Linked DNA regions of Elephas maximus indicus. The protein of the gene in region 2 purifies or fractionates together with the protein of the main gene of each other region. This does not show direct contact. Links are inferred from orthologs where the notes say so. Each region holds a gene or a part of one and is shown on either strand. Other genes may lie near its edges.

Region 1 (3,822 bases), on a different chromosome or scaffold from region 2:
GGCTCCAAAGCCTATCTTTTCCCTTGTTCTCCCCCTGCCCCAATTATTCCAAGGCATTAGAATATGTTAAGGGCACAAAAAAATTCACCTTACAGGTGGCTACTAGCCCTTCCCCCACCAAGGTATGAATGCTAATGACCATGTGCTTCTCCCACCCTAACTGTATTGTGTTCTATTTCCCATAATTTCATCCCTGGATTTCTTCTCTTGCTGTTCATGTGTAGCTTGCTACACGCTTCTAATTGTTCTTTGCATAGTAAGTTTCCTCTTCTACACATCGCCACTTTCTAGCGACAAGCAGAATCCGCTGGAGGGCTTTGTTGTTTCCACATGGAAAAGTTACCTCAGAGATGTGTTAGGTAATTTTTCAAATGTTTTTCTCTTGATAGTTATTTGAGAGCTGCATTTTTACACTTGAGCTTCTTGTTCCAGACCAAAAAGCTGGATTCTGCAATCAACGTTAACTGAGAAACAATTACGTGTACTTGTTTAAATACACATTACTGCCAGTTCTCCGAAGTACAACAAACATGAATGAGGAGCGCGTTTTAAAATCATACAACGTCAGCAAAAATATCGCTGGGTAATGATTCTTCTATATTATTTGTGTTCCAGTCCTCCACTTCTTAATACTTTTCCTTTTAGAAACAAGTTGTGCTGGAAATTCTACATAACACAAATCACACTGCAGAAAAATTTAAACCCCCCCAAAATTCAATACACATGAATTCCTTCCAGGAAAACCCTAAATTCAGTTAACTTCCCGGCCTCAAGAGGAGTTTCTAAAAATGCACTGAAGAAACCAACAAGGCTGGCTGGTTCAACTGGGAGAGCTAGCACATCTGCCTAACTCTTCTTTTCAGTCTGGCTTTTGGGAGATGAATATCCAGAGCATCACGGTACCATGTCCTTAAAGTTTAGAGCCAAACCAAACCCTGCGTTTGAAAACCAAAAGTCGGTTTATTTGGGGATCATCCAGATACTTGAAAGTTGACTCTTTTTTAGAAATACATTTCTTTTTTACACCCAAACAAGAGAACCTTACTGCCACTCTAATTCTAGTTCTATGCATGAAAAACCAGGTGCCGTCGAGAGCAACGCAAAAATTAAAAGCAAATACTGAAGTGTCTTTTAAACAAGCATACTGAACAGGGCGGACACGAACACGCAGGGCTGCACATAAACCTGCTACAGAGAAGTACGAGGCAAAATAAAAAAAAGAAGGGCTGTGCTTTGATTGGCATGGTGCTTACGCGGGAGACACTAAGTGTCAAAACTCACTTCAGCTTCGTACACCCTGTTTTTAAATCTCAAAAAAAGAAAAAAAAAACAGGGGGGGCCACGGGTAAGCCAGAGCAGAGTAACCTCCCACACTTTTTAACAACACGAATACACCAAAGTAAAAAGTTGTTTTCTGTGTGTGTGTGTGCCAACTGTTGGGCCACAGAAAAGCGTTGTCTTCCAGCATATTAAGTCCTGCCCCAAATTTAAACTTTCAGGTGAGGATGCTGCTGGTCGCCCGGAGCTCCCGCCGGCTAGCTGAGCGGTACCTCCTTTCTGCTATCCCCCCGCGGGGTCTGCACGGCGCTCGGCGCCCACACCTCGAGGCTGGCCCGTCCCCGGCCTTTCCCCGCCGACGGGGCTCCCCGACCTCACGCTGAACCCCACCCCCCGCCACTTCCTGCTCTCGCCGCCTCGCGCGCCAAAACCGCCCTCTCCCCGGGCGCCCGGTCCTGCTCGCGCCCCGCCGCGTGGGCCCCCCGCGACCCCCAGGGCCCCCCGGCCTCCCCGGAGCCCCCCGGCCTCCCCGCCGCCGGCACGCGCTCACATTTTTCGCTGTCGCTCGAACTCGGCTTTCTTCTCCTCCTCCTCGCGTTTCTGCTTCTCGTCCAGGCTGCTCCGCTTGCTGACCGTGCGCCCGAAGATGTCGATGCGGTCGGGCGGGGACGAGGCGCGCTCCCGGTCCCGCTCGCGCCGAGACACGGCCGTGTTGGTGGAGCGCGAGCGGGACCGCGACTCCCGCCGCCGGTTCCGCTTACTCTCCCGGGACTTGGAACGCTTCCGGACTCGCTCCTTGTCCCGGGACCGCGACCGCGACCGGCTGCGCTTCTTGTTGTGTTTGCTGCTCTTGGTGTGTTTGGAGCGGGACGAACTCCGGCTCCGAGACCGGCCCATCCTTCCAGGCGACGCTGGCTCCGGCCTCCAAACGCTCCCGGCTTCGCTCGCCTCAGCCTTCGAGCGTGCGCTGACCGTTCTGTCGGGCCCCGAGGAAGAAGAGCCACCGGTCAGATGCCTTTTTACCGTCGTCTTCGGTCGACGGACGCCACGAAGGCCGCCTCAAGCGAGAAGGCCGCAGCGAGAGACTTCCCTAAAATGGCAGCTGTGGCCGCACCGGCTACCTTTCCCACAATGCCCAGCGTGAACGTGCCGTCGCGCGGGCCCCGCCCCCTGACGATTGTTGCCGAAGACGCAGCGAGGATTTCCGAGCCCCTTCGGCTCTTTCCGCGTGTCCTGGCGGAAGCCTAAGAGGCCACGCTCAGAAACTCACATCTTTGCTTTAGCGTATTTATGTTTTTTGGTAAAATTCTTGTAGAATGAATTAATCATGTTTTGGCGCGAGTTAAATCATTCCTTGGTGTGAATTAAATTTCGCCTGGTGGCACAGTGGTTAAGAACTTGGCTGCTAACTAAAAGGTCGTCAGTTCGAATCCACCAGCTGCTCTTTCGAAAACCTATGGGGCGGTTCTACTCTGTCCTATAGGGTCTCTGTGAGTCAGAATGACTCAAAGGCAATGGGTTTGGTATGAACTGATTAATTGCGTTATTTTCTAGGAGATGGCTTTGTCATACAGCCCTGAATTGTATCAGAGTGACCCTGGGCAGATGACTTGCTTCCCTGAGCTTAGTCTCCTTGTTCGTGGACTGTAGATAACCACATTTCCTAAAGTGGTTGTGAGACTGAGGGCGGTATGTATTCAGCGGGTTTTCATAAACGAATGCTGATGCTTAATGGAGGGTTTAATGTGCCTGCCAGGGCACTGTACTAAATGTTTTGCGTTTATCAACTAGTGTTTAATTCGTACAACGGTCCCCGAGGCTAGTAAGTGGGGATGTGTACTGAGGTAAACGCATAACCAGTAAGCCAACCACCCCCACCCCAAGCCCTAAAAAAAAAAAGAAGCCCTAGCCAAGGTTAAGCAAGTTTCTGGATTTTACAATAAATGTGTCACTGTTGAGTCCCAATTAGAAAAGGCAAAATTATTATTTACGGATGATAGGACACCTTGAAAATCCATGTGCCTGAATTTTAAAACTGAGTTCTAGATAGCTAGACAAATTAAAAAATGAGCAATTTTCCTTTGAATATGCAATTACCTATTAAAAATGAAATAAAAAGATTTTCTCCACCAAAGAAATAAAACCTGTAAAATATGTAGTAATAATTTTTAAAAGTTACAAAATCTTAATGGTGAAATCCTTAAACCTTTGTTGGAAGGCAGAAACCAGACCTGAATAAATGGAAAACATATACCATATTTTTGAATAGGAAGTCAATATCAAAATACATGCCAGTTCTTCTGAAGTCAAATTACAAAATTAATGCAATTCCCATCAGAATTCCAAATTCACCTGGGGCTGTGTAGGTTAGAACTAGATACTTTTAAAATCTTATATGGAAGTCACATAGCTGGGAATTACCGAGAAAACCTTGAAAGAGAACAATAGTGTTTGCCCTATCAAAAATTAAAATGAAACAAACACCAAGATATTAGGAAAATAATCAGATACATTCAAATAGAATAGTATTTTAGTATTAAAGAT
Region 2 (3,600 bases):
GCATATAATTAATGTCGCCAAATTACACGTGTCAGAAGAGTTGGGAGAGCAAATATTTTATTACATATATATTTCATACAATAAATTACCAGAAAAATGAAACTAAATCTAACATATTTACCAGAAGTATCAATCAGCAATAGATTGAAAATCCTAAAAAAAAAAATGTGTCCTTCACCACGAAAGACAGTTTGAGCAGCACTGGTACAGAAACATCTAACCAAAGAACAGATTATCAAAGGCTCTAATCTTCCCTTTTTAGAGAATGACCTGCTTCTCACAATCCCCAAATACCGTTCTGTAGTGAGCAGAGGGCCACAGAACACCCTGTGGGCTGATGGGAAGGCCCTTCCTCATGAGAGCAGGGGAACTGGGGCCAGGCCTCAAACAAAAGGAGCAGACCATGCAGTGCTCAGAAACAGATAATTCAAATCATCTGGGGGGGGGTCTCACCAACCACTCATTAAATAGGAACAAGCACACAACTCCCATCAGCAAAGGGTGCCACAGGCTTGCACCCATTCAATTAGTTTAATTGGCTAGTTACATTTCCAAAGTACTGTTCACTGAGGGTAGCGAAGTTCACTGAGGGTGGCAAATAGTACTAAAGACTTAACCGTCTACTCTTTCCTTGCTGCTAACCTCTGCTCTGCAACTCCTGCCACCCCTCCCCTACAGGGAGAAGAATCCACTGCCCAACCACCTGATGCCACAAGTTTTCTCTAGGACTTCTGGTTGTGTGCCAGCATTTCTCAAGTGCACTTGATGGACCTCAGGAGGTGGGTGCTGTTATCTCAATTTTACAAATGAAAAACCTGAGAGCCAGAAACTTATGCTTTCATGGTTACCCTGCAAAGGCACAGCTGAAATCCCGAGCCTATGGCTTTGAGTACTCTAGTACACCGTGAAGACCCTATTTGAACATCACCTTATCAATAATTAAAAACGATAAATATGATAGCATGGTCTTTCACTGATGGGTGCCAAAATCTGTCACATAAATCTTGATGTTTAAATCCGCATCAATCTCATGAGAACATACTACCTTAGTAAAGATGAAGAGATCAAGCCATTAAAAGGATATACCACTTGCTGAAAGTCACACAGTTGATGTCAAGTTCTACCTGACTCTAGGACGTGAATCCTAATCTGCTACTTGCTAAATTCTCAGAATAATCCTCTTTAGAAGCCAGCAAATAAATTTTCGACTCACAGCTACCCTGTGTGACAGAGAGCTGCCCCATAGGGTTTCCTAGACTGTAATCTCTAGGAAGGCAGATTGCCAGGTCTTTCTCTCACAGAACTGCTGCGAGGATTGGAACCATCAACCTTTCAGATAGCAGCTGAGCACTTAACCGTTACACCACCAGGGTTCCTTTAGAAAAACCCTACAACAGATACATTATCAATCCCATTTAAAACAGAGAAACTAAGAGTCAAAGAATAAATCACCTGCCTAAATCATGCAACAAGAAAACAGCCCAAGATTGGACTCCAAAACCCAACCCGCTCTTCGTCCACTCAGTGCACTCACCTCAAATTCTCGGATGTAGGGCGCAATGCCACAGTAAGGTTGATTATGGTGTTTTTCATGTGGCAGTTTCTCCAGGGGTGGCAGGTATGGGATGGGGTCCCGGGGGGCAAACAGGGCCAGAAGGTTGGGCGGAAGGAACTGGGTCATCTTGCCAAGTCTGAAGGCAAAACCAGAACCAATTAGGGTAGGCTGGCTAGGATGAATCCCCTAAAACCCCCTGACTCTCAAGAAAGAGAGAAACAGGAGCGAGCTCTCAATGTTAAAACAGGCTCTGTAAGGGCAGAGTGACCCTATGTCACACGCAAAAGGGATAAACCTAAAAGAGAAAGCAAAGTCTTGAAGGTTTAGGGGGAAGAAAGGCCTACGAGGAAAACAAAGACTATAAAGCGTTTCTGAGTACAGAAGACTGAGTCGTGAGCAAAGAACTGTGGGGCTGAAAGGGTCCCTGGGGGGTTGGGGAGACAATCAAGGATCCTGAGTCCCAGAGCCGTGCTCCTGGAGGTCCCACGTAAGATGGGGAACGCTTTATGGGGCGAGGGTCGAAGTCACCGATGAAGGGGTCAGAGGATCTTAAATAGCTAACCCCTCAAGACAAAGGCTTGGGGGTAATAGGTCTAAGCCCCCCAACCCAAAAGGGGAAAGGAATTGTGGGTAATGGTCCGAGACGCCGCGAAGAGACAAGAAAAAAGGCAATACACCGCAAGGGCCTGTGGGTACTGGACCGCGGGGGGCTGTGGGACGAGGGCCTGAGTGCTCAAGGCACCCTGGGTAAGGGTCGCAGATAAGAATATTGCTGTGGTGGGTGCGCGGGGAGAGGGCCCGGCCGCGAGGAGAGGGGCCGGGGCCCAACGCAGGGGCTTGTGGGTAGCGATCCCGTTCCCGGTGAGGCCAGTCACACTCACCAGCCGCGCGGCGCCCTCCTCGGCCTGGCGTTGGTCCGGGGGCTCGCGGCGGCCCCTCAGCAACAGAGACTCCTGCTGTAGCTTAGACTTCGGCGGCGTCGGCGTCCGTGTGCTTCTCTGGCGGGCCCAGCGCGCGCACCAGGCCGCTGCTCACAAACCCGCGCGGCCTCAGCTCGCGACGGGAATAGGGGGTGGGACCCGCGCAGATCCCTCCGCCGGCCTCACTGCGCACGCGCCTTACGACGGGCGAACAACGCACACATGGCACGGGTTCCGCCGCGGGCAAGGCGCCTGCGCGGGGTGACTGCCCCGCCTTCGAGCGCCTTAAATTCCTTTTGCCGCTACCGCCTGGTATCCGCACTGCGCACGCGCTTTGCACCTGCCACCACCCCCTCGGGCTCGCCACTCCAACCGCCTCTGTCCGCGAGATTCTGCCCCTGATACTTCGCCCCCTCCCCCTAGCACACTTCCCGGGTTTGCGCGCGTGCGTAGTGAGATGTGCTGCCTGTACCCCTGCGCCGACTGGCAAAGAGTCCCTTCGTTGATAGTGGTTAGGTGGATGGGTAATGTCGAGTACTTAGTGCGTGCTGGAAACAATAGCATGTGACTAAAGCAGTCTTTTCCCTCGTGGATCTTACGTTCTACTGGGGAAGACAATAAAGTGATTTAAATTAATTATAATTTCAGGTAGTGGTTGGCACAATGAAGAAAATGGAGCAGAGTAAGGGGATGGGAAGAGTAAGAACGAGACTGTTTTCAAAAAGATGATAATGGAAGCCCTCTAGGAAGAGATATTTGAACAAAGGCCCCGATTGAACAGTGGTCTGGGCGGGGTTAACAGTCAGTGCGAAGGCCCTGGGGAAACCCTGGGTAGGGCAACCAGTTAACACACTCAGCTGCTAACCTAAAGGTTGGCTGTTCAAATTCACCCAGAGAAGCCTCAGAGAAAAGCCTTGTTGATCTGTTTCTAAAAGATATGCCGTTGAAAACCCCATGGAGCACCGTCGTACTCTGACACACATGCGGTCTCCATGAGTGAGAATCTACTCTAAGGCATCTGGTGTTCTGGTGGAAAAGGCCCTGAGTTGAGACCAGATGTCAGGAACCACATGTTAGGCAGGAAGTCATGTTATTTTAGGGCCTTTTAGACTTGTAATGAGTTAA

What was found. Proteins that work in one complex are often made in the same cells at the same time.
Region 1: the proteins of SNRNP70 (region 2) and ARGLU1 purify together in Homo sapiens (affinity purification with mass spectrometry; 3 studies listed by BioGRID and IntAct, with this or other methods). This does not show direct contact. The link is inferred for Elephas maximus indicus from reciprocal best matches to the Homo sapiens genes SNRNP70 and ARGLU1.

The regions. Positions count from the first base shown.
Region 1 is NC_064841.1:72,269,508-72,273,329, forward strand, and holds the start of ARGLU1 (arginine and glutamate-rich protein 1), read right to left. Parts: upstream 2,403-3,822; 5' UTR 2,176-2,402; coding exon 1,829-2,175; intron 1-1,828. UniProt on the Homo sapiens protein: Dual function regulator of gene expression; regulator of transcription and modulator of alternative splicing. General coactivator of nuclear receptor-induced gene expression, including genes activated by the glucocorticoid receptor NR3C1.
Region 2 is NC_064829.1:99,444,323-99,447,922, reverse strand, and holds the start of SNRNP70 (U1 small nuclear ribonucleoprotein 70 kDa), read right to left. Parts: upstream 2,650-3,600; 5' UTR 2,437-2,649; intron 1,692-2,436; 5' UTR 1,682-1,691; coding exon 1,535-1,681; intron 1-1,534. UniProt on the Homo sapiens protein: Component of the spliceosomal U1 snRNP, which is essential for recognition of the pre-mRNA 5' splice-site and the subsequent assembly of the spliceosome. SNRNP70 binds to the loop I region of U1-snRNA.